5 linked regions of the Tribolium castaneum genome follow. The protein of the gene in region 4 binds, or shares a complex with, the protein of the main gene of each other region. Links are inferred from orthologs where the notes say so. Each region holds a gene or a part of one and is shown on either strand. Other genes may lie near its edges.

The links.
Region 1: MED23 (region 4) and MED21 share a complex: the UniProt entries of both Homo sapiens proteins name them as parts of the mediator complex. The link is inferred for Tribolium castaneum from reciprocal best matches to the Homo sapiens genes MED23 and MED21.
Region 2: MED23 (region 4) and mediator of RNA polymerase II transcription subunit 25 share a complex: the UniProt entries of both Homo sapiens proteins name them as parts of the mediator complex. The link is inferred for Tribolium castaneum from reciprocal best matches to the Homo sapiens genes MED23 and MED25.
Region 3: MED23 (region 4) and CycC share a complex: the UniProt entries of both Homo sapiens proteins name them as parts of the mediator complex. The link is inferred for Tribolium castaneum from reciprocal best matches to the Homo sapiens genes MED23 and CCNC.
Region 5: MED23 (region 4) and MED20 share a complex: the UniProt entries of both Homo sapiens proteins name them as parts of the mediator complex. The link is inferred for Tribolium castaneum from reciprocal best matches to the Homo sapiens genes MED23 and MED20.

The regions. Positions count from the first base shown.
Region 1 is NC_087401.1:8,391,773-8,397,113, forward strand, and holds MED21 (mediator of RNA polymerase II transcription subunit 21), read left to right. Parts: upstream 1-3,073; 5' UTR 3,074-3,261; coding exon 3,262-3,303; intron 3,304-3,351; coding exon 3,352-3,567; intron 3,568-3,617; coding exon 3,618-3,791; 3' UTR 3,792-3,900; downstream 3,901-5,341. Other genes in the region: FAM21 (WASH complex subunit 2A), read right to left, coding at 1-344, 397-574, 624-1,698, 1,744-1,939, 2,083-2,275, 2,323-2,642, 2,694-2,813; Set1 (histone-lysine N-methyltransferase SETD1B), read right to left, coding at 3,941-4,114. UniProt on the Homo sapiens protein: Component of the Mediator complex, a coactivator involved in the regulated transcription of nearly all RNA polymerase II-dependent genes.
Region 2 is NC_087402.1:9,088,266-9,095,073, forward strand, and holds the start of mediator of RNA polymerase II transcription subunit 25, read left to right. Parts: upstream 1-3,060; 5' UTR 3,061-3,158; coding exon 3,159-3,280; intron 3,281-4,587; coding exon 4,588-4,758; intron 4,759-4,806; coding exon 4,807-5,026; intron 5,027-5,073; coding exon 5,074-5,422; intron 5,423-5,467; coding exon 5,468-5,713; intron 5,714-5,760; coding exon 5,761-5,945; intron 5,946-6,808. Other genes in the region: toll-interacting protein, read right to left, coding at 1,871-2,327, 2,375-2,673, 2,721-2,765. UniProt on the Homo sapiens protein: Component of the Mediator complex, a coactivator involved in the regulated transcription of nearly all RNA polymerase II-dependent genes.
Region 3 is NC_087394.1:8,424,930-8,431,717, reverse strand, and holds CycC (cyclin-C), read left to right. Parts: upstream 1-2,984; 5' UTR 2,985-3,113; coding exon 3,114-3,145; intron 3,146-3,196; coding exon 3,197-3,303; intron 3,304-3,352; coding exon 3,353-3,559; intron 3,560-5,399; coding exon 5,400-5,854; 3' UTR 5,855-5,965; downstream 5,966-6,788. Other genes in the region: leucine-rich repeat-containing protein 1, read right to left, coding at 973-1,164, 1,222-1,480, 2,127-2,629; Pa1 (PAXIP1-associated glutamate-rich protein 1), read right to left, coding at 5,985-6,162, 6,211-6,416. UniProt on the Homo sapiens protein: Component of the Mediator complex, a coactivator involved in regulated gene transcription of nearly all RNA polymerase II-dependent genes.
Region 4 is NC_087394.1:35,202,696-35,209,509, forward strand, and holds the start of MED23 (mediator of RNA polymerase II transcription subunit 23), read right to left. Parts: upstream 3,910-6,814; coding exon 3,496-3,909; exon of another isoform or gene 3,451-3,495; coding exon 1-3,450. Other genes in the region: stress-associated endoplasmic reticulum protein 2, read left to right, coding at 5,314-5,397, 5,456-5,566. UniProt on the Homo sapiens protein: Required for transcriptional activation subsequent to the assembly of the pre-initiation complex. Component of the Mediator complex, a coactivator involved in the regulated transcription of nearly all RNA polymerase II-dependent genes.
Region 5 is NC_087398.1:427,966-433,115, forward strand, and holds MED20 (mediator of RNA polymerase II transcription subunit 20), read left to right. Parts: upstream 1-2,766; 5' UTR 2,767-2,902; coding exon 2,903-3,523; 3' UTR 3,524-3,595; downstream 3,596-5,150. Other genes in the region: uncharacterized protein LOC103313212, read left to right, coding at 229-397, 814-917, 1,025-1,201, 1,251-1,622, 2,228-2,299, 2,347-2,431, 2,489-2,561; Hmbs (porphobilinogen deaminase), read left to right, coding at 3,808-3,852, 3,905-3,977, 4,037-4,223, 4,276-4,540, 4,882-5,150. UniProt on the Homo sapiens protein: Component of the Mediator complex, a coactivator involved in the regulated transcription of nearly all RNA polymerase II-dependent genes.

The sequences.
Region 1 (5,341 bases), on a different chromosome or scaffold from region 4:
TCGTCGCTTGTCTCATCAAAAAGACCAGGATTTTCTTTGGTGTCATTTTTTTCGAAAAAATCATCGTCGGGAGGTTCGTCAAACAAAGCCAAATTCGGTTGGGTTTTAACCGCGAAAGTGTCACGTGACTCATCAAAAATACCGGTTTTTTGTGACCCAGTTTCGAATAAATCATCAGGGGGCTCTTCAAGCCGATTTTGAGCCGAATTTGAGTCATTTTTGTCCGACTTGACCTCAAGTATGGGGTCACGTGACGTGCTATTTGCTTGCTCAAATTTTTTTAAGGCTTCTTTTCGACCTTTTCGTGTTGACGGGCGCCTATTTAGGGGTCGTCTGGCCCTATCCTAGTTAAAAAAAAAGATAAATTGCCAAAAAAACAAGTGATGTCTTAGTTACTTTAGTGACACTTGGTAACACTGTAACGTTGTCAGCCTCATCAAATGACGTGTGATGGTCACGTGGTGGCGCTTCAGTGGCGTTCGCTGCGCCATCTGTCTGTTTTGGCGGAAATGAGCCCGGCCTTAAGGCCCCAACGTTGATATTCAAATTGTGTTTGAGTTTTCCTGGTTTGTTACTAGAAAGCGAAAAAAAAATAAAAAGATGGTTAAATTTGTTGTACTAACGTCTTGTTTGCGTCAAGCGGGGGCGGTTTCTCCACGCTTTCCTCCTCTTGAACCTGATTGGGGGTTTCGTGGTCAGGGGGCGGGCCTTCACCCTGATTGGTTGTTTCGTGGTCAGGGGGCGGGCCTTCACCCTGATTGGTTGTTTCGTGGTCAGGGGGTGGGCTAGGATCAAAAAGTGCTTTAGCCGACGTTGACGCGAACAAATCATCAGGTTCAAATAGCGAAAGGCGTGGTTTAGGTTTTGGAGACTCCGCCTCTTTTTGCGTTTCACGCCTATCGACATTAATGGAATTTTTATCGTCTGGAATTGCCATTAAATCGGCGAATAAATCGGTGGAATTTTTCGTTTCTGGTTTTGTTGGTGCAAATAAATCGTCATCGAAAAGACCAGAAGTGAACTTTCTTGTCGCATTTGACGAGAAAAGATCGTCTTTAAATAAGTCATCGTCGTCATCAAACAATGTCACTTTTTTCGGTTTGACACTTGGCTCCTCCTCAAATAAATTGACGCTCCGCCCTTTTTGTGGTGATTTTTCGTTTTGCTCATCGTCACTGGAGCTTGGCTGTCGCCTCAACAATTTTTTATCGAACAAGTTGCCACCGCCGAAAATTGAAACTCCGCCCACTGGTTTAACAAACTTATGGTCGTCGGGAACTAGAGGCTCATCACTTGGCTCCTCCTCAAACAAATTGACGCCCCGCCCCTTGGGTGACGATTTTTCGTTTTCCTCCTCGTCGGAGCTTGGCTGCCGCCTTAATAATTTTTTATCGAACAAGTCGCCGCCCCCAAAAATTGAAACCCCGCCCACTGGTTTAGCCACCTTCTTGTCGTCTAGGGCCGGCGGCTCGTCGCTAAACAAGGGCATTTTGACAGGATTTTGTAAATAAGAGGTGGTTTTTTTCGTAAAAATATCATCATCATCGCTATCGAACAAGTCCTGTTTTGGGGGTTGTCTCAATTCGGGTTTGGGGGTTGGGGGCGTGGCTTCATCATCGTCATCAAACAAGCCCTTACCCCCTGAAAACAACCCCTTAGGTTCGTCCAAAGGCGGCGGTTCATCGAAAAATAGGTTATCTGGAATTAGCGTTTAGTCTGCGGTCCGCTTCCAAAAACAATTACCGTATTGTGGCGTTTTCTGGATTGGCCGTCGATTGACGTACTCTTGATCAATCACGTTCCCCAATTTCGCCGCCAACTCTTCGGCAAAGTTGGTAGTTGGTTGCACCGGAACTGAGTTTTCACTATCACTCGAATTGACGAAATTTTTCGGTTCAGTTCGCAAGTCCTCAGAACTGGTATCAGAGGTGCCCTTGATCTGGAAAAAGAACCAGATATTGCCCATGGCGACTGGATCGCGACTAAACAAAAAATTCGGTTGGCCGGTTAATAGACCAATAAAATTATGATAATGAATGGATCAAGTGCAACTCAACCAGTGGAAAAACATGTGTAAAGTACCTGTGTTCTGTCGGGAATAATTGGCAACTCTGATTCTGAGTCGCTTTCACTGAAATTATCTGAGACTTTCTCAGTTTCGCTATCGCTGGACGAGTCCTCCAGGCCCACGTGCCACGTCTTTTGCCACTCTTCTGAGCCGATTACGTACGGAAGGGGGCGCTCCAGGTACAAGTCTTTGGGTCTGAGGACAAAACTGGAAAAGACAAACTAGTTTTTGTAAATTATTTAGAAAAAAATTACTTGGGCAAGTCGATATCGTCGTCTTCACTGTCACTGACCGACACCTCAACCTTCTCAAAATACGTCTCCAAGACCTCCAAACCCTTCAAAGCCGCCAACCTGATTTCCTCAGTCTTATCAACCTCTTTCTCCTCGGCTTTCGCCTCAACCGGCTCCTCCAAAGTCTCATCGTCCTCATAAACCCGACTTTCAATAAACTGGCTGTTTCGCAAACTTTGAAACTCGTTTTGGGCTATATTCAACTGGAGACTTGTCTCAGACAGGGAGCTTGTCAAATTTTGCAAGTTATTGTTGATTTCGGTTGTTCGAGTCAGGAGATTCTAAAAATTGAACGCTGAAACGGTTCAATGTGGGCCAAAAATGCGAAATACGTCTGCAAAAGCCTTGAGAGTGTTCAAAAGGGCCACATCTCCGGCTAAATTCCAATTGTCCGAATTTTGGATTATTTCGTCCATGGACCATGGTCGCTCCCACGGCTTGGCCCCGGACATTTCTAAAGCGCTGAACAGGCCTGTAATTGCTATTTTTCATTAATAATAATAATAATTTGACATCTGTCAAAAACTGACTTGGGGACTTTCAACTCGTGGGTTGGCTATTACTCCCCGGTTTTGCGTTATTATTTGATTAAATAAAACCAATTAATTTGTAAATAAAACCGTTCTACTATATTTGAAATCAGGCGTGATAACTAAAATGTAACTTCGGCCCGGTGGGATTAATTTACGCAGACTTTACCCAACCAGATTTGGGTTGGCAATCATGTGTGTTTGTTTTTGCAAGATGTCATTCACCTTCTAGTATTATTCTAGTTATTTCGTACGAATTAATATATTTTGTCGCATATTAAACCTCGGGAGATAACAAATTATCATCAGTGTTGGTTTTTATGTGATTTCGGGTCTTATCACTTGTCGGTGATTGGGTAACATAACCTCAATGGCCGATCGTTTGACCCAGCTCCAGGATTGCATAAATCAGGTAATTCCCCCTAAGACTGTACCACTAATTGCATTCGTGTTGTCGCAGCAAGCCGAGCATTTCTGCAACAGCATTGGGATTTTGCAACAGTTCGCCCCTCCTAGCAAATTCCCAAACTTCGACAGGAGTGGCTCCCAAACCCCCCAGCAACAGAACCAAGAAGACTACGTCCAGTTATTCACAACGTTGATTGCGCGCTGTGCCAAAGACATAGATACTTTGATTGAATCGCTCCCGAGCGAGGAAAATTCAACCGAATTACAGGTACCTATCTACAATGACTTGGTCCGACCGCGGACTAAACACTGTTTCAGTTGCAAAGCTTGCGAATTTTGGAATCAGACAATCAAGAGTCTGCTGAGCGTCTCGAGGCTATAGTTCGTAAAGGTCAGGATCTCTTGGAGCAAATCCAGGCGGCGTTGAGCGACATCGCCCAATCACAGCTGGACATGCAGCATTTGACAAAAGCGGGGAGTAAGGATAGTTAAGTGAGCTGTTAATGAATTTTATTTGCGGTTGTGATGAAAAACAAACACAAATAACCATGTACTATTTACAGAAACATATATACAAATAAAAAAGATAATTTAAATTTTATATAGTAACTAACTCGGTTTAAAGTCTGTCTTGTTTCCCTTTAATTAAGTGTTCCTCGACACGTGGCCGCGCCACACAGACACGGGATTTTCTCGTCCTCGATCGGGAATTTGTAATCGTAAGTAATTTCCTCGTTCACACCTATGCTCTGTTTCGAGTAGATCACTATTTTCTTTTGCGACTCGATTGTGATGACTTTGGCGTAGCAATTCGGCTGTAAAAATCATTTTTTCGGGTTATGGAAGACTGTCGCTTAGGAAACGAAACGAGATACAAAATCGTACCCAAAATGTAAAAATGAGGGCGCTTTGAGCATTATACTGTCTCGGCGCCAAGTCGTTTTAAATTAATTTAAAAACAAATGGACAAATCAAGAACACAAGAAAAATCCTACGAAGAAATTTATGGAGAATAAAATTTTCTATTACACGTACACCAAGAATCATTTAAAAACACATTGTACCTACACCGTTGAAAATGGAAATATGTTGTCGCAAACTGTTTTATAGGAAATTTAATTCTCTACAACTTTGTTCCTTACACTTTTTTCAACAAGCGATTTATTCTTTAAAATATTAAAACATTATTAAATTGTTCTATGTTGTGTATAATATTTTGTGGTTCCAAGATATTAACACGAAACTAGACTCACCACAAAATTATCGCATCACTTAAATTGCAAGATTTTGAGTGTTAAGAGATTGAAAATAGAACTGAAATTGATGATATAAGATAATAGAATTCTCAAGTAACTTTCACTTTTTTTAAAACATTTGGTTAAAAACATGGCTAGCTAATTAAATGTCAAATTATTAAAATTACAGCAGGTCGCGTAAAACGGAGGCAGTTATCAAAGCTCGAGGAGGTAATATCTCCGAATGCTAAACTTGCCTCAGTGCCCTTAGTAGACCTTATGCAAGCCAAAAAAAAAAAACCACTGATCCGAATGAAATTGACTTTTTGACTTTTTTATAATCATGTTGTTGACGTTTAGTTAATTTATCGTTAAGTAGTTAATTAATTTATTTTTTAAATTTGATTAGTAAAAAAGAGACTTTCTCAAGTGATGCGATAATTTTGCCGGTGAGTGTATAATTAATATACAGGGTTAGGCTGCAAAAATATCTTTTACTATGGACAGGTTTATACATAGAAGCGATTAACTGATCACGTGACCAAATTGAAACAATTTGGATCATCCGAATGCATTGTTAAGTTTTAACTTGTTCAATTTTAATGGATCTTTCTATAAATAGGTCTTATACCTCAAAAACTAACTAATAGCGTCGCTCTGAAATCAGCGTTTTGTTTTAAATAAGTATTACTTTCTTTTTTTGTCTATTCATATATTTTTTTATATTTTTTTACATTATATTAATTGTAGCTATTAAAATGTACATAGCGATAGTATGATATATAGTAATTTGGAAGAGATACATAT
Region 2 (6,808 bases), on a different chromosome or scaffold from region 4:
GCGTCGAAAACGTGAAAAATGATCGAGAAACCTTATACACCATCCTTGCGATGCTTATGCCAACGCAGGATTTCACCCAACTAATTGCACCTTTTTACCCTCCTAACAATAAAATCGACGAAGCCAACGATGAAGAAAGAAAGAAAGGCTATCGGGCATTGGCCATTTGCGAAAGTTTGAAATACGCCACCGGTTTTGTCCTCCCGACTATCATTACATATTGCAAAGGTGATTTTTTGGGTCGAGCCCTGGAGTCTCTCTACTATCAATTTTACCACACCCCCGAAAACAAATTGAGTGTTTTTATCAACGAGTTATCATCGAGAGCGGTTTCGGTGCGAAAACACGCAATTTTCCTCACTTGTCAAGTAGCAACAGCCGAAGACACCCAAAACTTAATCAAAAAATACCTCGAGACGGAACGTAATATCTCAGTCCAGAAACACTTATTTACCGCCGCTTTGAAATATTTCACTAAAAATCCCTCTGAGGATTTTTGGGAATGTGTCACGATTTGTATGACGAATTTGGACAAAAACGACAATGAGAGTTTCGATTTGTTGATCGATGTGTCTAAAATACCACAAAAATACAAAGGGAGACACGTAATGTTGGTGTGGGAAATGTTGAAAGTATCGGAGGATTTAGCCCCGAAAAGGACAAGTCTATTATCGTCAATCCCTTCGGATGTCTTCAAAGACTTCCCTTTGCATTTTCTGACCGAAATTATCACAAACAATTTCCTACAATGCAACTCCAAGTGCAAAAACTCGATCAATGATTTCGTTATCTCAACCATACTTCACACGAGTTACACGAGCGATATTATAAATTTAATCTTCGATATTTTAACCAAAGTTAAAACCGCCTCATTTGTAACTCTCGGAGAGGAGAAAAACGCGCGTCAGTTAGTTTTACGTTTTGTTGCAAATTTTGTTTCAACGATGGAAACAGACGAGGGAGATTATCAAATACTTCAATTATTTTCCGACCGTTGGCACGGCCTGTTTGGGGTTGGCGAAGCGATTCAAGAACACTTAAAAATCTCATTTGCGTTGTTTAATCTCGAGGCAAAGAAAGATTTAATCAAATTTAGCAACGCAGTTGCTGGACTTCTCAATACTTTGGTGCCAAAATACGGTATTGTTGTTGTAAACGTTTTTGCAAGCGAATTGAAAAATTCTTTGGCCTCGTTTTTGCGTTGTTACGGCGACTGGAATGAAGATTTTTACAAGTTTTGTTTGAATTTACTGGAAAATTGGAAAGACCTAACAATTTATTTATTGGTTATTAAACTTTTGCCCAGTAAAGAGCCGTCACAAGACCAAACCAAAGCCATGTTCAAGGAAATTGTTGATCGACTCAAGCAAGTTCCCGATGAATCTATTCAACTGTTAATGAATCTTTATATAACAAATATGGAGTAGAACTAAGAATTTATGCTTTTGATGGTATTTTGATAACATTGTTAGAGGATATTGAATAAAGTAACTAAATACAATTATTGTTGTTTATTCTGCGACAACAACGATTAAACATAACATGGTAGATAAAATATGAGTAACAATGAGTTGGAATTACGGAGGACTGAATCACTCAATTTTCTATACCAAATAAATAAAGTCGGTTTCGTATTAATTTAACTCAACCCCTTCCCAAAACTTTTAGCCCCCCGTAGTTGGAATTAACAATGGAAATGTTCAAGTAGAAATCGTTAAAAATTAAAATTGCACGATAAGCAAACCAAAAAGCATGGCTAAATTTTGGCACTTGATGAGTTAAAAAATGACAAAAAATGGAATTTTAAAAAGCTACGACTAGAATCCGCAACTAAAGTTTAATTATGGCGTAAATGAGATTACTGATTGATTTATTCAGCCATTTGAAGTAACGAATTAATGGTACCGTCTTTATTGCCCCTGTTGGCCTCAAACACGGTCTTAATCACCTCTTTATCGATATTTGGAAACATTTCCTCGATTTGTTTGAGCTCGGATTCACTCAAAGCAGGCGCGGCTTCAGTAGGAGGCGCTGTAAACACCTTCAAGGGTGTGACATTGCCCCCTGTTACGTTGGGCACCACCATAACAGGCGCCGGTGGTTGATATTTATATGAAGGGAACACTAGATAACTTAACACGAGATTAATCATTCCTTCGACACCTTCACCCTGTTTCCCATTTAATGGGTACCAATCCTCGTGGGTTTCCCCTGCAAGTACCTGTTGGGGGATCTGGAACTGCGTCCAGGCGATGAGTTCGTCCATCGTAAATGAGCGTTCGTCGAAAATTTCTAACGTTATGGTATTAATACCTTGAGGCAACAAACTGGAAATGGAAAAGTAGGGACTTGCTAGTTTTTGAGATGTGTTTACCAGTGAATAACTTTGTTCCATCGCGGGTTTTTGCCGCCGTTCGGGTCCGTATGCGTCTCGTAAACGCAATGCCCGACCCGAATCCGAGCGTAGGGGTCCATTCTGGTCATTCCGTAATTTTTTGCGAGCTTAGCTTGAGCAACAGTGATACTGAGCCTCCCAACGACATTTGTGTACTGTTGGCCACCGCTTAGCTGGTGGTGCAGTGCTATGGCTGTTTGGCGATCCGCTGCCTCTTGTTGTTGCTGAACCGAGGTGCTGATACGGAGAAAATCCTCCGGGAGGGGACCAAGGAGGACCTAAATTTCGGCATTAAAGCACGATTTTTTAAATCATTGGCACCTACCCGACTTCGCCTTTCTCTGACTTTGTCCGTTAGCGCCGATGCCATGGTGTTACACTATTTCAGATAAAGTAAAGACGCATTAATTCACTGTTTGCGGTGTTTGATGACAAATAATCAGCTGTTCACGGCAGACGTCAACACGCCTGACACTAGGGGAAAAAATATAATCCCAGTCTGGGATTAAATTTTATTAGTTTCTGGCGAAAATAGCCAGGTAGTTTTGGTTAAATGCAATCTACTAATAATTCTATTCAATTGATTAGTTTTCCAGACAACATTTTTGCATAATTTGGCTAAAATAAAATTTCATCTGAATGAAAGTGTTGCCATTAACTTGACGTAACATCCCTAAAAATTTGACAGGTATTTTCAATATGGCGGGGTTTGGTGCTTGTATTAAATTGTTTCATTAAAATTGTTTAATATTTTGACTAAACAATGGTTGTGTGTCCAGCTGATCATGGCTTACACGCCGATATCGTTTTTGTTATCGAGGGAACTGCAGTGAATGGTGCTTATATAAATGACCTAAAAACCAATTATATCATCCCTTCGTTAGAGTAAGTTTACTTTTTTTTGTAACTTCTGATGTATTACATGTTTTTCTCTACTACTGCTAAATTGTTTTTATTGCCTATTTGGCTTTACAGTCCTACTTGAAGTTATTTGATATTCTAGATATTCTTTACCTTTCCCAATTTTCTTTTGCACCCGTCACTTTTTTCATCCATTCTTTTCCCTTACCATTTTCGTTTAAAACTTTTTTTCGTATCAAACTTGCACACTCTTACCTCCACAAACTGTGACACTCTCCGCTTAATCTGCACACTGTTTCCCAATCTTCTCTCCAATATTCGTTCTCGCTTTCATTTCTACGTCTAAATCTGGCTATGATTTTCTTATCTTTACTTTACATCTTCCTTAAGTATGAGAGGAGTTCATCCGTCAATAAGCACGGCATATTTTACGTATTACACCTCGATTCTTTTTTCCATGTTATTCTTTCCTGCCTATCTATGTCCAAATCTCTCAATTTCAGTTCCTCTTCCATTGTTCGTCCCCTTTCTCTTATTCTTTTAATTTCTATACACACTTATTCCTTCTTCTCATAGGAGTCTTTTCGTCCTTTCCATCTAACATTTTCATTTGCTTTTTTGATTTCTGTTCAACACTGTTGCATTCACGCAGAATTCTTAATTTCTCTTCAAATCCCACCGCTCTCTTTCCTTAATCTACTCTTAATTTTTTTCTCTTCCTTTTTTTACTATGTACTCTGGCATTTGTTTATTTAGCCTGTTCGATCTCGTATTTCTTCCATCCCCACACTTCTGCTCAAAATAGTCCCTACATTACAGTGCTTTTCCCTAAGCTATTATTTTTCTCTTGAAATTTTCACTAAATTTACGTTCTCCCAAGCTTCAAACATTTCCTAAAACCCCATTTGTTTTTTTTTGCTGCTTCTTTTATATGGGCTGTGTCTGACATCTTGCTACTTATTACTCTCTTCTAACTGAAATAGTGAAGATTGACTAAAATAATACAGTACATATCTGATTCAGATACTTCAAGTCTTTCACTTGTTCTATATTTTTCCTTCCCATTGCCATTCATCCTCTTTTCCGAATTCCCATACTACTTTTCTTTCCAAATATCATCATTTTTGTTGTATCTACATCTACATTTCCAATCTTTTATTTCTCTGTTTTTTCTCGTGATGAATTCTGAACGGATAGTTGAACAAGGTTTGAGGTACTGAGAAATCAGTGTAACCTTGCTTTGTTATGATAAAAATTACACCCTGATACGAAAAAGTAGTAGTAGTAGTTTTTAATTGGAGAATATGTTCTTGTAACTGAGGGACTTTTAGATATTTTAGTCAGGGGAGTATTGATGAGAGCAACTTCCTATCAGAAGGGATTAATTCTTATTACGGAATTGTGGTGTATCAGGCTGCTGATTGCTTACCGCACCCCAGTAGCGACACAATTGGGCCCTTTGTAAGCCCCAGTAAGGTATTAAATGCCATAGACAAACTTGAGTAAGTTCTAACTAGGAAAAGGATCACTTAATGTAAAAATTATTTCAGACTTATAGGAGGTAAAGGCGAGTCTCATGCAAACATTGCTGAAGGTTTAGCCACAACCCTTCAATGTTTTGACGAATTGCAGCAAAAACGTGACAATAACGGCAACATTCAAAAGCATTGTATTCTAGTGTGTAACTCGCCCCCTTATTCTCTAGGGGTTTTTGAAACTCATGCTTACACAGGGAAGACAGCTGAGCAACTAGCAGCTATTTTGCAAGAAGTAATTAACCAAGTGTCTTCCACCAAATTTGCATAATTAACTTTCAGAAAAATATCAATTTGTCGATTATCTCGCCGCGCAAAATCCCCTCGTTGTATAAACTGTTCGAGAAAGCCGGCGGTGATTTGAGCGCTTCCCAGACGAAAAACTACGCCAAGGACCCCCGTCACTTGGTCCTCCTGCGCGGCTTCAGCCTGAAGGAGCGCCCCCTGAGCCCCCCTGCCGGTACCGCCACTTCCGCCCAAACCCAAATTTCTAACACTACCATTCCTATAACCTCTCTCCCCAGCCCCTTAGCCAGCAATGACAGCCCCATCTCGTCATCCTCGTCCGCCAACTCCGGGGTTCCCTCAGGAGTGGGCCCATCGCCCGTCTATCGGCCGCCCAGCGCTCAAGGTATAACCCCCCAACACTCACAAAATGTTACACCAGGCATGGTAGGTATGGTGAACGCCCGAGGGGCCATGATGGGCAACAACCCCATGAACATCCCGCAATTGCCCGCACCGCCGGGCTACCACCAAGCGAACCGGCCCAGATGGCCAGCTATGTTGCCCCCAACGCAGCCCAGGTCGTATCTGCCGCCCAACCAACAGGTTAATACCACCCAAAGTAGCGCACTGATTGCACAGCTGACACAACCCCCGAATTCTATGCCGGGGACTGGGGTTAATCAATTTGGACAAAGTAAAAGAGAAGTTTTTGAGGTGTTTGAGGTAAATTGCGTGTTTTAGTGGGGAATAATTCGCCGCTTAATTCGCAACAGCAACAACCCCAAATGAAAATTAATATTATGAATCAGCAAAATCAGCAACCAAATGTTCAGACGTCGATGTCGCAGAATCCCAACAGTGGGATACAGACCACCTCAATTGCGCAGGTGTCGCAGCCGAATCAGGCCGGTACTTCCCCTGGACAGGTATTTATAAACAAAAAAACATCTGTTCAAAAAAAGGCTTCTTCGATCTCAGAAACTAAGAGATTTATCAGAAAACACATTATTTACTATTTTCTCTTAGTATCGGAACTAGTGCACCCCTTTGTTAGGGATAAAGGGATATTCAGAAGACTAGTTCCAAAGTGTACATTCTCCATTTTTTTAATGTAAGATATATGAGCAGTGTGATGTAGTTTTTAAAACAGAGTTTAAAAAAAATAAATTTTAATTGCCAGTATATTTTTTATAAAGAAAATCTCATTTATCTCTAAAGTGTACACTATACATTTTCCTCCAATGTATTACGTACTTCGAAACCGTGTAACCTCCTAAACTACTAATTAAAACAGTTAAATATTAATTTGTAAAATGAGCAAAGTCCGTTTGGTACATAATCTGACACAGACCCAATTCTTAAACTCATGGGAAAAAATTCCGTTGGGAAAACAAAATTGCTAGGTGTTCTAAATGTTGACTGCTAACTGCCAGCTTCGACTTCAACAATTTTTTATCGCTTTTTTGATAAATGATTAATTACTTTTGTATTAATCAAATCAAACATGTTTAAACATAAAAAAATAAACTCATTTTTTTAAGATGAAAATTGTTACTAGTCTTTTTACCATACGTGGATAATGTTTTTTTACTATGTTCGCTAAAAACCTTGTTAAACATTGCTCACAGGTTGTTCTCGATTTTCTTTGACCTTTAGAAGGCCAGTCATAGCACCTGCATTGTAGTCCTGGGCTGCATTTATTCTAAATATTTTATTTATTTCTATTTATTCTTTTTGGTCCAATTGTCCAATGGACCAAATTGTAGTTTTTCATGTAAATAAAAAATTA
Region 3 (6,788 bases), about 27 Mb from region 4:
TTATTTCGAATTCTTTAACTTTGTAGAATAATAATACTTAAGTAAATAAACATCTTATTTTAAAGTCAGACAAGTCTGTTAAAGTGTGTTTTCACGGATCGATTTTACTTGATCTAGAAAACTTTAATGAAAATCAACGTAAAAACATAATCAAATTAGGTCATAAGTTTTGTTAATTAACTACAATTAATCCGTGAGAACGCGCCTTTAAATTTAGTAATACTAAAAAATATGCTTATTAAATAATATTTCAAAATAATTTACAGCTTAATTTTGGAAGTAAAGAAATTGAAAGTAGTTCTAACAAAAATTATTAATGTAGACGATACTTCAATTTCATCTGTAAGAATTGTAATGGAAAAATAAGTTTCAGATTAAAAACTTAATACATAGTCAAAAATAAAGATAGTGCAAACACTTTATTCAAAAAGAAAAAACGATTATTAAATTACCAATTACATATTTAACAAAACGCTGCAAACACGGTTAAAGAAAAAAGTATAAAGGACAAAGTTGTAGAGAATTAACTAAATTTCTTATAAAAAAAGTCCACGACACCATATTTCTATCTTCAATAGTTTAGGTATAAATTAATTTTCCGATACTTTATTAGTGGTAAAATGAAACGAAACCGTCGCTTAAACTTTTTTAAACATCATTGAGGATTTTTTTTAAAGGGCATTTAATTTTCTACAATTTCCTTTCCAATATTTTTCTTGTATCTTAACCCGTTTTCACGGCGTTTTGAAAAATGTGGGACGAAACGTAAATCTTATATTTTTTTCTCACGTTTCTCGTGAAAATTTAATCGTCACTTTATCTCAGTCTGCTAAGAATGCAAAGCTTAATAGTTCTGTATTTTTTCCAAGAAATTACTTTAAAAAGAAATATACTTTTGCGTAACCGACTTTTATTTAAAAAATAAACCACAATATCTCGTAATACTTTATGGTAAGGAAAAACCTGAAACAATCAAAACGTTACAAGAAATTTTGACAACTTCGAGACTTCTATTAGAATATCTTCATCGTCGCTTTCTGACTCCGTAGCTGAATAATTCAAATCTGAACTAGCTACACTATTTTCCCAATCGGAATTTGAGTCAGAATCGACCGCCGTATCATCTTCTAATTGTTTATTTGATGTTATCACATTGGGGAACATCTGGAACAAAATCAATCAATTTTATTTACGCACAATTGAAATCAATTAATAAATTACCACATCTATATCACCAGTCGAGGACAATGGGTTATGTAATAAATTAATTTTGACACAAGTCATTGTAGTGAGTACACTTTCCGGAATCGAATAAAATTCGTTAAAGCGCAAGTGGAGGTATTTCAACTGTTTTAATTTGGATATATTTGAGGGAATATAATGAAATTTGTTTTCAGTCAAGTTGAGGTGTATTAAAGACTGTAACTTATCGAAGTCTTTAGGAACTGTGTACAATTGATTATCTTCTAAAGTAAGCCACCTGAAAAAAATCAACAGTAATATCCATCACAAGAGGGCGAGGTTAAATTGAAAATTATTTTCTAATTTATCGAACTCTCCTGTGCTTTTATGTGGATTTTTTTTTATTAATAGGCATCATGAAATTATATAATATTTAATTGTATCTGTTTTTTTAGAAAGTTTACACAGTAGGCGCTAGTAGATAAGTAATTAATCTCACGAGAATAATAGTTATTTATTATACAAGACGATAAAATCTGATTTTAACTATGAGAAGGTTTTGAGAAGATAATGGTGCATTTTATCGTGTAAAATACAAAATTTTATTTCTCCTCCATTTTTTTCGATTATTTCGAATTACTGAGTTATTTTGATTAACAATTATAAACATTAAGAAATTTAACAATAAAAAATACTTTAAAAACAACAATAGTTGCGAACTATATTTTTCTAGGCGACAAAATTCCGTTTTACCATAAAGTAGACAGTGGATAAAATACGATTTTATCCAACCAAAAGCATTAACACACTCGGCTTCGCCTCGTACTACTTTTTCGTTGATAAAATTCGACCTTGTTTCACAAGAGAGTGGAATAAAGTAAAAATAATTTGTCGATTTTTCGAAAACTAAAATTCTTTAATTTTTGGGTAAGTGTCATACTTACCTCAGTTGCACTAAATTACAGATTCCATCTGGTAACTTTGTTAACAGGTTATGCCGAGCCCCCAAGGTTTCCAACTTTGTTAAATTACCAATTTCTTCAGGTAAAGACTCCAGATAGCAACGGTTACACCATAATGTTTCTAACGAAGTTAAATTTCCAATATCTCTAGTCAAGTCTTTAATCGGATTATGGCTTATGTTTAGAGTAATCAACTGAGGCAAATCCTTGAGTACTTCAGGGAAACGATCGAAGTTATTGTACTCCAGAGACAAATTTTGCAAATTCTTGAGCTGTCCGAGACACTTGGGCAGTTCAGTGATTTGATTATGACCAATGTTTAGATATGAGAGGTGGACACAGCTCACCAACAAGGGGGGAAATTTGACAAGGTCGTAATCATCTAGCGCTAAATTCGTTGCTTTAGTTCCATGAGCTTTTTCTATTTTTGCCAAAACCCGGTTTCGCTGAATGTAATCGTACACTGGATTCATTTTTGGAAGCATTTAGAGGTTATGTCGCACAAACTCACTGATTATTTACACAACTTGTACACAAGCACACATTTTTGAATAAATAAGAATCCAAAAAAGAAAACTGGGGGCCCGAGCCCCTACACCATTCCCAACACAAAAAAACACACAAACAATAATTTGTTTGTTGTCACAAGTGGCGCTTTGACATTTGAAGTAGTTCAAATCAACCAAACATTTTCGTATCATATGGTTCGAACGAAACAAACAATAAATAAAATAAATAACAAAACTGAAAAATTAGCGTTCGTTTGTACTTAATTTTAGTATTCTAAGGTCTACAGTTTTAATAAAAGAGGTCGTAGGTTAAAAAACACCACAGTAGTTCCATTGGTTGACACTTGTCACTTGACTGAGTTTCTTTGACCGGTTTCTTTTGCTTTTGTGTTAATTAATAATTGACTGGAAGCTTAAAGTTATTGCCTGTGATTTAATTCAACTCAGATTAGTTTGTGCAATGGCTGGAAATTTTTGGCAAAGCTCACACCAGTAAGTTACGATATGAAAACGGCCCCAAAATCACAAATGAATTTTTTCCAGCCAGCAGTGGCTTTTGGACAAACAAGATTTAATTAGGGAGCGCCAACATGATCTCCAACTCCTCACGGAGGAGGAGTACCAAAAAATATTTATATTTTTTGCTAGCGGTATTATTTATATTAGGTTATTATCAACTCTCTTAATTTATTTTTTCAGTCATTCAAACACTAGGCGAACAGTTGAAGCTACGCCAGCAAGTTATAGCAACCGCAACGGTTTATTTTAAGAGGTTTTATGCAAAAAACTCACTTAAGTGCATCGATCCGTTATTGTTAGCCCCCACTTGCATTTTTCTAGCCTCCAAAGTAGAAGAATTTGGGGTGATTTCCAATTCTAGGTTAATTACAACGTGTCAGACAGTCAGTAAGTTAAGTCACAGTCTCCGTGATGGTCTTAGATGGCTGGTCTAAAAGTTACCAGATATAATTTTCCCAAGTTTTTGTTAAAAAAATTACCGAAAAGCATCCAACTTCGGAACTACGGATATCTAAAAGTTAGGATATGGTACGACGTACAAATAAAACGTTCCTGTCCTTGATATTTCCGTTAATGCCGCCAGAGAACGCTGTTGTTCCATTACCAAGGTTTTCAGAGCAATAAATTTGAAAAAATGGTTGTATTTGTATAACGGTTAACACACAGCAAACAAAAAAAATACAGGCAAATAGAGCATTAAATTCTCAATAGTAGGACATAAACATAATGCAAAAATTTTATCATAAACTATATTTAAAAAAATTTCAAACTTTTACCAATTTGCACTCTGTCCCATAATTTTCAAAACGCTGCGAATACGGTTACAGATATAAATAAGTATATACTATTTTTATTCGAGGGACAAAAATTGGATAAATAAGTCACGTCGAATTTTTTTGAACTTAGGGATCAAATTTTATAAACAGAAACTCTTGAAAAGATTAAAAATATATTACCGGACAATCGTTTAATTTTTTGAGATAAATTGCTCCAAAACTAAAATTAAAAATGTCTATTTAATGAAGTATTGTTTATTATTAATTGACTGATCCAGAAATACTGTCTGTTGACAATACTGAATTAAAATTTTAAATGTTCAAAATTAATTGAAATTTGGTATATGCCTGAAAGTAAATTTATTCATCGAATTATTTGTTTAAAAAAAATTTCCATTTGTTCTGGGAATATTAAGACTAGCTAGTCTCATTGGTGAACCCAAAAGTCAAATTTAATATTTTTAATTATTTATTAATTTAATTTAATTTATTATGTAAAAAAAATATCGCACTAAAAAAATTGGTCAGCTTTGTAAATCTTGTCTTTATCTAAAGATAGCTCGTTGCCGCCTCAACTTTTACCAAAAAATAAGTAAAAGTTAATAATAATTGAAAGAGAACACATTTAATAAAAAAATGAGTTGTATTAATACTTATTAGCGCCACTGTATTTATAAGCATTGGTTGTTCTTCGTTAATTTATATGCTAATATCTAGCTTTCAAGTGTTCAATTTTCTCTAATAAATGTTTTTTTGTAGTTACGACTTTTTTGCTTAGTAACTTCAGCAATTTTTTTATTTCAATTGTTTTAAATTGAAAAATAGCGCTCTAAAAAGATGTCTATAAAATTGCGTATCAATTTAATTTTTTTCATTAAAGTTCAAAAGCATATAACATAAAGGTGCGATTTAAAGAAAATTTAAGAATCACGAAATAACTTAAAAATACGTAAAAGTAGTTACAAGGTTTTTGTTTAGCAGGTCAGTTTAATTCTCTACAAATTTCTTCCTAACATTTTTCTGTATCTTTAATTGTATTCGCAGCGTCTTCTTAAAGCACAAATTAAATAAAAAAATTCTCATGTTTGTCATGAAACTTGTAGTCGTCAGTCTTTCTTAGTCTGTTAAGAGTGCAAAACATTTCTACATTTTTTCCACGTTATTAATGAATTGGTTGGTTTTAAATTAATTTAAAACGATTTGGCGACAAGACGGTATAACGCTCGTAGCGCCCTCAGTTTTACTCTGCCGTACTATTTTTGGTCTCCTAACTTATAGTCCTCCGTATTCAGAACATACCACTCAACAGGGCGACCTCTCGCGGTTATTTAATTAATTACAGTTTAAAAATCCAAAAATTAATATTATATTCTGTCGTTAATAATTTCAAAGCCGTCTAAGATCGAAGGAGGCTAAGTTAAAACTAGCTTTTTTAAACAATCTATTTTCAGTTAAAAATAAGTTTAGTTACGCCTATAGTCAGGAATTTCCATATCGTACGAACCACATCCTAGAGTGTGAATTCTACTTGTTAGAAAACCTCGACTGTTGCTTGATCGTCTATCAGCCTTATAGACCTCTCTTACAACTAGTGCAAGACATGGGTCAAGAAGATCAACTTTTGACTCTCGCCTGGAGGATAGTGAACGATTCTCTTAGGACTGATGTGTGTTTGCTTTATCCACCATATCAAATTGCAATTGGCTGTCTTCAAATAGCTTGTGTCATCTTGCAAAAGGACCACAAGGCTTGGTTTGCCGAACTGAACGTGGACATAGAACGAATTCAAGAAATTGCAAGATACGTTATTAATTTATTCGAGCTGTGGAAGACTTACGACGAGAAGAAAGAAATTCAAGGACTGTTGAATAAAATGCCTAAACCAAAACCTGCCCCTCAAAGATAGAAATCGGACGATTTCTACGTGACTTTACGCTTATAACTATCACTTAAATATTTATTCTTTGATTCAATTCAACATAACTGTGCTAATTTCAGAATAAAGTTCCTAGATTTATGAAGTGTTTTATGTTATTTCAATGGTTGCTTTGTTGCGGTATGAGTTTATGCCTCCGCATGTTGTTAATAACACCGTCCAAAGACGTAGTTTTCTTCTTGGCGCTGCCTTTCAGTGCTTCCTCTCCTTTGTTTCGAATTTTGAGGCGTGGGGACGTAGTTTCGTCCATAAAATCAAAATCGGACTTATCCTCAGTCCTACAGACAATAATTAATAATTGTGTAAACACAAACCATAAATTTTACTGTTTTTGCTCAACTTCAACCGGAGGCGGCTCTTCCACTTCCGGAGAGGGTGAACGGTATCCAGGACATTTCCAGTTCAGTTCAGGAATTTCACCCTTGCTTAATTGATCGTAAAGTTTTTCGATCACTTCAGGAGGGGGCTCCCAAGGGCCTTTTATGTCTTTAAATTCGTCGTCGGAGCACTCTATATCCCAATTTTCGTCCATTCTCTTGTAAACATTTTTGTTGTAAAAGTTAGGTTATGTTAAAAAAAAATTACATAACCTCAATCAACTCCAAATGTCACTTCAGAGCGCTAAATTTAAAAATTTGAGAGATAGAAGGCGAAAACTAATCAAAATAAGCTCCATTCTTCCATTCTTCTGTAAAATTGTTCGTTAACGTCCACAAAATAACAGACTGTAGAAAAATAACAAAATCTCAATCAATTCGTAAAATCGAGTTTGTTTTTGACGAAAGTACGGATATCTAAAGGTTAGAAATAAAATTACGTACAAATAAAACGCTACCGCCTTCGATAGTTCCGTTAATGTCGCCAGAGAGCGCAGTTGTTCCATTACCAAAGTTTTCAGAGCAAT
Region 4 (6,814 bases):
AAACCTCAACCTCATTTGCAAAGGCGGTCTTAACCGGCGCACCACAGTCTCCAACTCCTTCTTCATGCTATCCCCCACAAACATGTACTTAATGTGGTACAAGAGATCGCAGATCGGGTCCATATATTTCAACTCGCTGTGCGCGTGGTCAACTTGTGCCAACAGTTCGTACAAAGCACTCGTCAATTCCACTATTGCCACGTTAAACCGTTGCAAAAAGGGCCCCACAAGATGACAAACATAGAGAAACTGTTCTTCGGACCGTACCACAGCCGGTAAACACTCACGCGCCCATCGGGGCACACTGGCGATCTGCCCCGGACCAGCGTGATGCCAAACCGAATGAGCCAAAGCTAGCATATAACTAAAATTATTATGCAAAAGCCCAGCGTGGGTTTCTTTGAAATCGAACAAACGGAAGGGAGAACAGTCAAAATTCCACGTTTCTAGCTCGTTTAACGTGGCCACAAGTCGATCGTGTAGAACACTCCAGTAGCTAACTGGAAGCGCTGCCAGAATTAAACCAACAGCATTGACCCACTGGTGGATGTCTGACGAGGGAATTGTGACATAGCCTTTGGCCACGACGTCTAGCAAACCGTTGGCTACGGCCACCGGACCGGCGGACAACGCCATCAGTTCCACACAGCTGGTGTAAAGAATATGAGCCCCGGCGTTTGGGAACTCATTGAACCGCCAATCAATTACGGAATTGGCAGTGGCGCCCCCTAGAATATCAACGACTCGCTTGACCACTTGTATGTAATAGTCCAGTTCGGGGGTCCACATCTCGTCAGCAGCTCGTCCGAGGTACAGTTGGTAGGGCTCCGAAAGACTGTCTTTGAGTGTCCCTAAGACAGCAGCCACCAACCGTCGTTTCAAAGGTGGACGGTCCCTAAGCCTAGTCTCGTAATAGTGCAAAGTGTTGTACAAATAAGTGACCGGACGGTCATGAAACTTGTACAAACAACCCAAGTGTTCTAACAGAATCTCCAAACTTTTGGTGACTTGCGGTATTTCCAAAAACCGGTGCACCACTATATCAAAAACCGGCAAAAAGCGCAAACACACGTTGCCAAAATAGGGGTGGTAACCACTTGACTGTTCCTCGGGGGCAAACTTCTCGGGGTATTTCCGGTGAAACTCCAAGTGTTTCTCGTGCCAGTTGGTCTGGTTCCAATGATCGGGCGAGTTGTCTTTGACGAAATCCTGCACCCGATTCCTAAACTCTGTAGCTTTAAGCAACACCAACTGGATGATGAACGAACAGACTTGAGCCTCGCTCCCTTCCTGCGTCCGCAGCGCCAAACACAAGACCAACCGATCGATTGTCACAATATTGTACTTCCAGATCATGTCATTGATCGTATCCACGCATTTGTTAACATGTTGCCCCCCAGGACTGTTACTAAACTCGAACACGAGACAATCACAAAACTTCCTCAAGTGGGCCGAAAGCGCCCTTGCCCCAATCCTCTCCAGGATTTTGTAGGCAATTGGCGTGATGTGATCAGTCTCGAGGAGCATTTTCCACAACAAACAGAGGAAAAGTGGGGGCGCTCCCGCAACCCCAAAATGCGCCATCATGTCATTTTCGTTGTTCATGGACGACCACTTCCGGTACTCCTCCTCCACTGCTTTCTTCAATTGTTGTTTGTTTTCTTTAGGGACGGCATGTTGCGTGAAAAACTCGGCCAGAGCCCTGGGGAAGCATTCGAGGGTGTGGGGGGCCCACGCATGGGGGGTACTTTGTGCAATGGTCGCCAGCAACTCGTGACACCACGAGCCGTCGGCCCCCGTCACGTGCGTGGCCCTAGCTAGGGTCAAAACCAGCGCCCGATTCAACTCTTCCGATTCCGCCGAAATTAACGTCTTGGGTTCGGCTAAAAAGCGGCTCAGTTCGGGCTGAACTTCGCCACTGCCCAGCCCCGTGATTAGACGCAAAGCGGTCGATTCGACACATAAGTGCAGTTGGGTTTGGTTGGCTTGCGGCACCGCTGCCAACGAATGCAAGTGGCTGAGTAACTGGACACGGTAGTGGGGGTGGATGTGGTGCATCCGATAACTAAACATCTCCAGAAGTGTGTAAAGGGTGCCCCAAGCGTGTGACTTGTATACGGTTGGCAACAACTGGCTTATGAACCCTTTGATGCCCAACGATTCGATCTCGGTGTACACCAACAGGCGACTGTACGTTTCCACCAAAGCTGGTGATAGTGGCATTCCTAACTTGGCCTGTGCTAGTTTAATCACGTGTGTGACAATACTATGGATTAAGCTCATTTTCGAATGCACAGTTAATGAGTCCAAGACGGCCATGCTTAAAGGCGCGGTAGGTGGGGCTGTTGATTTGGGGCTCCCTTGGATCGTCTCAACTAGCGCTGCCATTGGCTTACTGTAATAATCGGGGTTCGTTGAGTAGGCGTTGCACAACAAGGCGATTCTGTAGTCATTTCCCATCGCTAACACGGTGTTATTAGGGGGCACCAACTGTTGGAGGAAATCATGATGGTTGCGTAGTTTGGCGGGAATTGGCCAAGTCAAGTTGGTCATTTCGGCTTGCGCTTTCTTAGTCAAGTGGATCCAAATGCACGTCATTGCCATCTGTCTCGTACACTGGGGCTGGTTGAAGTCCGGAACGGGCAAAGGGGGCTCCTGTTCCGGAAACAACAGTTCGTAAAGCCGCAAAACTGGGAGGAAATTCGAGAGGGGGTTCTTCTGAATCGAACCGGAAATAAACTGCAAGAGGACCCACATGAGTTGGTCGCGCCCTCTCCGCAAGTCGCGCCCTTGCAGTCTCGAATGCAACGATATAACAATGTTTGGGAAACTCGCAAATTGGAAAAGAACAAAATAAATTAACTGGGACGACAAGTGCAGCCATAACCCTTGAGTGGCGCTCTCATCGCCCTCATTTTCCGTGCGTTCCAGCGCCAAAATCACCAACTCGACCAGTTGTTCCTCAAGGGCGGCACAGTGTCTCTTGTGCTGTTTCTGCAACCCTAACATGCCACACACCATGTCGCGACTGTACGGCTGTTCCAGAACGTATCGTAATAAACCGGTTTGCTTCTCTAGTAATTCGGGAGCGTACGGTAAAGTGCCCTTAAGCGAGAATCGCAACGTGCACGGGTCAAGTTTCCAGGGATTGACCAAGTGTTCGGGACAGCCGCTGTGCTCCACAACTGGCCGCATTTCCGCCTGGCCTACGATAGCCACCATTTGGGCACAGGCCCGAAAACTGCCAACGTAATCGGAGAAGAGGGCAGCAAGGCGCCAGTGGGGGCAGTCAGGGTAGGCCTTCTGGAGCTCGTTCACTAGGAGATAGCCAGGCAGGAGGCACGCGTTCCTGTCCATGATTCGTTCAGCGACGCTTAAAAGAGCCTGGGTTTGGGGCTGCAAGCCCGCGTTCAAGCGCCAGGGGAGACTTTTCGCCTTCTCGCAACATCCCTACAATCAACAATCAAACAATTACCACAACAATTCCCCACTTACTTTCATAATTTCGCGAACGCCCTTGTATTCAACCAAATCTATAATTTTCCGCACGAGTTTAAAGCACTCGATCCAGAACCGCGCATTGGTGTGTTGTAGTTTATCGAAATTCATCACCACCTCACACACGATACGGGCCCCAATGGTACCGTTGCGCACGACACTTTCCAGGAGCTCCATCAAGAGCTGGAGCTTGCTTTGGGAACATAGTACAGCAGTGTTGAGGTACTGGCGAAGGGCGGTGTCTAGCTGCTCCTGGGGGATGCTCCGCAGGGCTGTGTTCAACTCTTGTTGCCATACAGCCACCTTTTCCTTTTCGGCACTGGGGCGGTGCACTAGAAAGCAACTAAAGGCTTCTTCGATGCCTTCAACTTTGAGAATGTCGGTTAGGACGTTTGTTAGTGGCTCGCCCATCGTGTCCACGGTTATTTTTCAGGCGAAAACATTATTTTGTGGTTATTTGAATGGGATAATAACGGTAGGTTATGTTTGGCCGACTACATGTTTAGGCAACACATTATACAAGCGCCTAACACTGCAGAACCGTATTCGATTATTTTGACTTGCTGGGTGAATCCTCAGAGATAATAAATAATTGCGTGCGTTGTAAGATGTTATCAACTCTCAAACAACGTCAATCTAAATTATTCCATACCTAGCCACATTGTAATAAAATTCATATCAGCCCGAATCTATTCGTTTATTTGCATATCCACTTCATACGTGAAAATTTGTTTGCTTATCTTTTAATAAAGGCAATATTATTACCGCACGTCTCGTTCATTATGCGCTTAAAGAGTTCTTTTTGTCTCACATTTCGATATGAACTCACAGTTCATAGAACAGGTGAGGTGTCACTCATTTAAATCGTTTTAATTTATTTGTTTCTTCTCCCTAGGTGCAAATTTTAATGCACGCTCAACAAATTAAATGTGCGGAAAGTATTTTTGGGAAATCAAACTACATGTGGCTTTGCAGCAAAAGAACTCCCGTTATTTGGATGTCGACGAAAGATGAATTCTTAATTCGACAAGCCCTAACAAAGGTACAATTTAATTGTTGCAATTAAACGTGCAATTATCCTTCTTTAGGTCACTCCTGACCAACAGGTGAAAGTTATGAAACAATTATTGACTTGGCTGGATAATAATCCCGAAGTCCACTCTTTGAAAATCCCTGAAATGTCGCTAAAGCTCCTCAACAACATGGCTAATGCCAATGCCATGAATGAAAGGACTTTTTCAAGAATGAATAGTTTCAGAAACAGTCTGAGACGCTTGTCCTTAATTACGAACCGAATCGCTCCCGCAAACACACCCAGAAGATCCGTAACTTTCAACGACGTTCCCATAATTTACCGCATAAAATACTGACAAAAAAGTAACGAAACCTTTACAATATCTATGTAAAATTTGTGCCGAAATAAATGCACCTTAAAATTTTTGTTTTTTGAAAAATCTGAGTTAAAAATCAGGGTAAAAAGTCAAATTCAACGTTGTTTTTGATGTTTGAAAAAAATGCATAGAAGATAGGAAAATGACCAAGAAAACTAGGCATATACTTGATTATCATAAATTATTGCAAATTGAATGAACCCATTGGAAATTTCTAGCACTCCCTCCCTTGTTTGAAATTCTCCACGCGTCCGTGGCGCATGCGCATTTTCATCTTACGTGTCAAATAAACGTCAAAAAAGCGCCTCCCTTGCCCCTCTCCGCACTTTTCGGGCCAGTGTCGAGGCACGGACGTGTCAAAAACGCGTGTGTATGTTTTTCTGTTGAATTATTTCCACTTTTCCGTATTTTTTTCCTGTGAACGATGGCTCCCAAACAGCGGATGCGTTTCGCCAACGAAAAGGCCAGCAAGAACGTGGTCTTGCGAGGGAATGTGCCCAAATCGTCGGTGAGTACGCTGGACCATATTGTTTGTTGATGGGGAGCTGACGGTGCCCCTTTTGCAGAAGCAGCAAAGCGAAAACTCGCCAGTGGGGCCCATGATCTTGGCGCTGTTCATCTTCGTCGTGTGCGGATCGGCGATTTTCCAGATTATCCAGTCCATTCGGATGGCGTAGGCTAGGCTTCCCTCAAAGGCTCAATTCCTATCGTGTATAAACCGTGTCTGTTCAGTTATTGCATTTTGTTGTTTTCTCTATACTTATTTTGTAAATTTATCGTTTGTGGAATATAATTTTATCAGAATTTTTATCATGTATAAAGTGTATTTTTACATAAGTTGTACTAGAATTGGGTGGTACTACTTTACGCACAGATGCCTATAATGAGATTCTTTTGTAACCATTCCATGCTTAATTTTAGGAGACAATTTGTGTAATTACCATATTTTCAATGACTATTAAATTATTGAGTTAAAACCTCGTTTTATTTCATTGCATTACCTACACTCACAACTAGTTGTGTTAGAAATGGGGAGTAAAAGTAACAGACAAACAGTTAAAAAAAAGTATTACCCCTGTTACCTCACTGAAATTTCAAGTTCGGCAAATTTCATAAAGAAAAAAATTAACAAACAGATATAAAATCAGAATGTATGGTTTGTGGAGTGTATTTTGTGTTGCATTTGTGCCTAATCAGGCGCGGAATCTTATCAATATCTACAAAATTGTTATTTAAACCGATTTTATCAATATTTCGTTTTTTCTTTTAGCTCTAGCAATAATTTATCTGTTATCGGAACAAAACACAACAAGAGGATTGTTTTTGTTATCAATAGGTATAATTATTACGAACATACAATACTATTACTTCGTGTCATTTTTCTTCTACCGTTTTTCTTAATTTTATTCACATACAAAATAATTGAGCCTTTTCTCCCTAAACTAGGTTCTCATCTTGTGAAGAAAATTTGGTATTTATCGATAGCTTCTGTGTTCTGCATGAATTAAAAAGAAACAATTTCTACATTATTGTACCCTTATTACTAAGTACATACAATTTTTGGAAGTCCAAATACAGTTTGCAAGCATTATAAAAGACATAAAAAATCGAATTAGTTTAATTTTGGATTAATTTTTAATTTGCTTTCTGTAAACCAATCCTTATAATAATTATTATTAATTAATTACTTTCAAAAATTTTTTGTTATTAGTAATGTTTTTTTTTATACCAAACCACTTTAATAGAAATCGCTTTTGAGTTATTTATTTATTTATTTTTATTACAAAATGTTTATTTCATTTAATTTTTCTTTAATTCTAAATTTGAAACACATTGCCCCCACTCTAAAAAAAATGTGAATCTTCCTTAAACGTACATTTTATATTAATTTAAAATCTGTTTAACAACTTGTCTAGACAAACAAC
Region 5 (5,150 bases), on a different chromosome or scaffold from region 4:
CCGATCACCTTCCGTCCCCCATTAAATCCATCATCCGACATTTAATTAAAACAGCAAATAGATCCTTTGTGCAATCTCCATCCGGCACGAACATTCGCAATTGTCCCAATGTCCGTATCAACATTGTAGGGCTTTAGGACACAATGGCCCATTCGGAGCAAGGTTGCAAATGCCCCATTCACACGGCTCACGCCTACATTGCTTACATAATTCACCCTTTTCCCCCAGAAACGGTCTTCGTCAGCGGCTGTGAATCCTGCAAACTCTACTTGACCTGCCGTCACCTATCGTCGATCATCGCCGTGCTGGAGGCCGATTTTACGCCCGATTACAACACCACTGCTTTAGTTCCTACCTATTTTCCACCAGTACACCCAAGGCAAGCATTAAACAAGAGGTGGGTATCGAAAAAAATGTAGGGTGTAAATATCCGATCCTGACCTAGCCTAGCGTTATCTGATGTCGGTGTGAGCATGAGTCAGATTCAATTATCGCTATCTTCCCCAAAGATCGATCGGTCGGCACGTGGGGCCCCGACCTTGGCTCAGCCTTCGCCGAGGGCGTCCCGAATTGGGTCTCGTCCTCGTCGAGGCCTCGTCTAGGTCAGGGTCGGAGGCCGAAATTTCGACGGTCTGAGTCAAGGTATAGCCGTGACAAAGGACAACGCGGTTGCGTAAAAGGCGAGCAAGGACAGGGCCGGATCATCATCGATCCGTGCGAAAAGTGTAACAGTCGGTCACGCGGGCCCCTTATCGCCCTTCAGATCACAGCATATGGCTAATTGGGCCGGACTGAGGGTGGCTTTGCTTGTAGGTGCTCAGGGGTGAATCACTGCAGCTTCATTCTCACCGAGGATTGTCCCGATGCACATTTGTGGGGCACTGGCCGGCTGAGGGTCAAATACGTCTGCATATCAGGTAGTTATAACCGACGTGAAAATCGCCCAATCTCCCGGATATCGAAAACCGCACACACGTTCATAATCCCTATTATTAGCCGCTTTAAGCCCCCATCCATTTTCCAGAAAACGAGATTAGGAAGTTCTGTAACAGCGAGATCCTCCTCTCCGGCCCCTCCGAGGGTTTTATCCACAACCCGGGCTACCCCCGATTTTACTCCAGCCAGAGACAATGCCGCTGGAAGCTGCGAGCCCCTCGAGAGCAACGCATTCGTGTCACTGTTTTGGACATCTCCATCACTGGTAATAAAAACCAATAGCGCTCCCTAAATCCCCGCTAAAAAAAATCCAGCCGACAGGATAACGCATCCTGATGAATGCAGCGACCGGCTTGAGATTCTCGATTCGGGCCAGTTGGTCCAAACCACGTGCAAGCCCCAAGACCCCCCGCTGGAGGTGGTGTCAGAGAGCGAGTTCGTGGAGGTGGTGCTGGTCTCGGCCCATTCGCTAGTGCCCCTCAGAGGCGTGCTTATACACTACACTGCCGTGGGGTGTCCCACCCCCGACGCCCCTGAAGACGGCTACCTGGTCTATAGGAACGAAACAGCTGCAGAATACAGGTGCTGCATCAATCGGGCCTTTGAAGACGACGGACAAAAAACCAAAATCATCAACTGCGAGGGGGCCAAGTGGGACGTCGACCTCCCTCTGCCCAACTGTACTAGTAAGTTTGATTAGACGCTAAATGGAATTGACCTCCGACCCCGCTTTTTAATTTTTAATGAGATAAAGTGTTGTGTGCGAACAAAGATAACGCCGAAACTCCACATTTCGTGCTTTGTGCGAGTTTGCTAGTTTGGATAAAACAAAGATAAACTGAACGTAAGCCCTACAAAACAATTTCGCATTCGATGAAACTCCCAAACAAAATCTAATTATATTATGGAGTCTACGCCTCTGCCTATTGACTTGTTGGTGTTTCCGTTCAACAAAACGTTCCCGTATTGCTTTATCTCTCTCGCGATGCTCAGTTGTCAACGGAAAATCGTGTAGGAACCACGTGGATTACCTAGAGGCGTTTTTCGCGATAAAAAGAATTGTAGGAGTTTGCACTAACGAGGCAAATAGTGAGTGTTTCTAGAGTTTTTTTTCATGTAATTGTATTTTTAGCGTCCAATTAGACAAAGCAGTTGAGGTTATATTGTATTGTTATAAAAAAAATCATTATGAAAAGTTTTGTTGTTATCAAATTGCGGAATTGCGCTTCAGACCACATTCATTAAGTCAGCGGCGACTCGTGAACAAGGCTAAATTTACTCATTTTTTCAGAAAAACTTCAACAAAAGCCTCTGCTAACTGTTCAAGACATCGGAAAATCGAAAAATATCGAAATGGTTTCAGGTAACGCATTTTATGATTTGTTTAGGTTGCTGTTAATTTTTTTTCAGATGTTTTAGCACCGGCCTTACTCATAGCGGCTTTATTTTTGATAAATTTTATGGTTCTATTTTACATTTATAAAATTAAGCAAAAGTAAGTTGCTAATTTAGACTAATTTTTTTTCATCCATTGATCTTGTTTTTTTTTTAGACACGCTGAAGAATTTGCTGACGAAGAATTAGGAACGTTGCCACTGTCAAGTTGTGAGAAAGCCTCGCCTTGAATTATTTATTTGTAAAAATGACACTTTTATAATAAAAGTTTTATTTAATAATCGCTATTTTATTCCACCACTTTGAAAGTTGCAGTTTGGCGCGTAAGAACACTAGGAATTTTCGTTAGCTAAGGTTTACCAAAATAAAAACGCAATTTTCAAAAAAATTTATTGTTATAAATCAAATCCAAAAATACGGTAAATATAAAACATATGTTTACATTATGATTCAAGAGATAAGGGGTCAACGACTTTGAACTTGTAGCATTTTTGACACCTAGCTAAGTTGGCACCACTGACGATCATTAAGCTATAATAACCTCAATTTAGCCCCCAAAAATCCACTTAAAATGGGGGTCACAGTGTTACAACAGTTCCCCACAGAGAACCGCACGGGGCCCTCCACCATTGAGCTCCTCTCGAAGCGAATTTCCGCCCTGGGGGCCCTGCAACAGGGCCAGTTTCTCGTCGATTGCGAAACGTTTACTTCTTGTGCCGCTTTGGGACACCAACGTACAGTCCACGTCCTTCACAATTCCGAGCAGCCGGCGACTGTTTTTTCGATCCTTGAGACAGGCCAAAAGACCATTCCTCTCGCAACTGACGGCCTTTTTGATCTCCTGATGATGAAAATGTCCGGTTTTTACTCATCAAAAAAACAGACTAAGGCCGAGTCGAAGGGGCCGCGATACGAAATCGGTGATTTTTGTGTAAAATTGGGAACAGTGACTGTAAGTCAGAACTTTCGGGGGGTTCTGGTTGAAGTAGAGTATCGACCATGTGTGGTGCCTGCGATGTGTTGGGAGTTGATGCGGGAGTTTCTGCAGGGGTTTTTGGGGTCGTCGGTGCCTGCAACGCCCCCACCGTATTTGCAAAACAGGATGCAGGAGTTGTATACCCCCATTGATACAATTCATCAGTATTTGGAGCAGTTTACGATATTTAGGAAGGCCCCCGGTTTAAGGCCCTAATTTTAAGCTAATTTATTGTAAGGTTCAAAGTTTTTGTAAAGAAAAAATTAAATAAAAACAATTTTGAGGTTATATTGTCTTTCTCTTTTACTCCCACACATTAGACTATTATGCGTCTTTGTCTAATTACATAATTTGGAAAGTTGATTGTTCACCTCTATCAGCACTTACGTAGGGCAGAATGTGATAGTGGTGATGAAGCAGTTTTTTTTCAATAAAACAGCATGAAAACATAATCATGCGTTTGCGGTAATTGTTCCTTACTTGAGAGAAAAAGCACAAAAATGAGTGAGATTGAGAAAATCCGGGTTGGATCCCGGAAAAGCGAGGTATTTATCACGTGTTTGTTATTGTGGGCTCTTTTTCATTTGACATTTTCAGCTGGCTCTCATTCAAACGCGACATGTGATTTCACTGCTCAAAAAAATTCATCCTGGGAAGGATTTTGAAATTGGTGAGGTTTCGCAAAAAATTCCCAAAATTTATTTATTTATTTCAAAAATTTATTTTTAGTAACAATGAGTACATTAGGAGATAAAGTCCTAGATATACCGTTACCAAAAATTGGTGAAAAATCTCTCTTCACCAAAGAACTTGAAGCAGCTTTAAGTACAGGCTGTGTAGATTTTGTTGTACACTCATTAAAAGATCTTCCAACCGTATTACCTCCAGGAATGGCAATTGGGGCTGTTTTGACTAGGTTTTTCTTAATTATTATTGTAATGATTATAATTAGCTTTCGTAAAATTTAGAGAGGATCCGCGGGACGCTCTAGTGTTGCAAAAAGATCATGACAAATATTTATTAGAGACTTTACCAGAGGGAAGCGTCATTGGCACCTCTAGTCTACGGAGGGGAGCACAATTGGCCCGAAAGTACCCCCATCTCAAGGTTGAAAGCATTAGAGGAAATTTAAACACTAGGTTAAAAAAATTAGATGAGTTGGGGAAATATCAAGCGATTATTTTGGCCTCTGCGGGTCTCATTAGGATGGGGTGGACTAGCAGAATAAGCAAGGTGGGTTTTATATGTTATATTAATATGTCACTTGTTATCTAACTTCATTTTTTACAATTTTGTATCAAAAATACGTATATTTTTGCCACTAATTAACTTGTTATATTGTTTTTTCCTTATCACTTTGTGTATGAGACAAGAATATGGCAATAAAATCCAAATTAGTTGTTTGAAAAAAAAACGACATGACAAATTCTCACTTATCTAATTTATTAAAAACATTTTTTCCTGTTTTAATTTCACACAAATTGGGACGTAATCATGTTGTTTATTGTCGTTACTGCATTTTACTTTAAAATTATGACAAAACCTTATTTAAGTTATTCAATGAAAAAATCTAGATTTTAGATTCTGACGAGCTTTTGTACGCCGTTGGCCAGGGAGCCTTGGCTGTGGAATGCCGCGAATCGGACGAGAAAACAATCGAGCTCCTGAAGCCCCTTTACGACGTCCAAACTGCCCTCCGTGTTATATCAGAACGCAGCTTCCTCAAAACCCTCGGTGGGGGCTGTAGTGCACCAGTCGCAGTTTCTAGCGACTTGTCCCGCCTCAAAGACAACAAACACACTTTAAAATTGAAGGGTGCCGTGTGGTCCCTTGACGGCAAAGA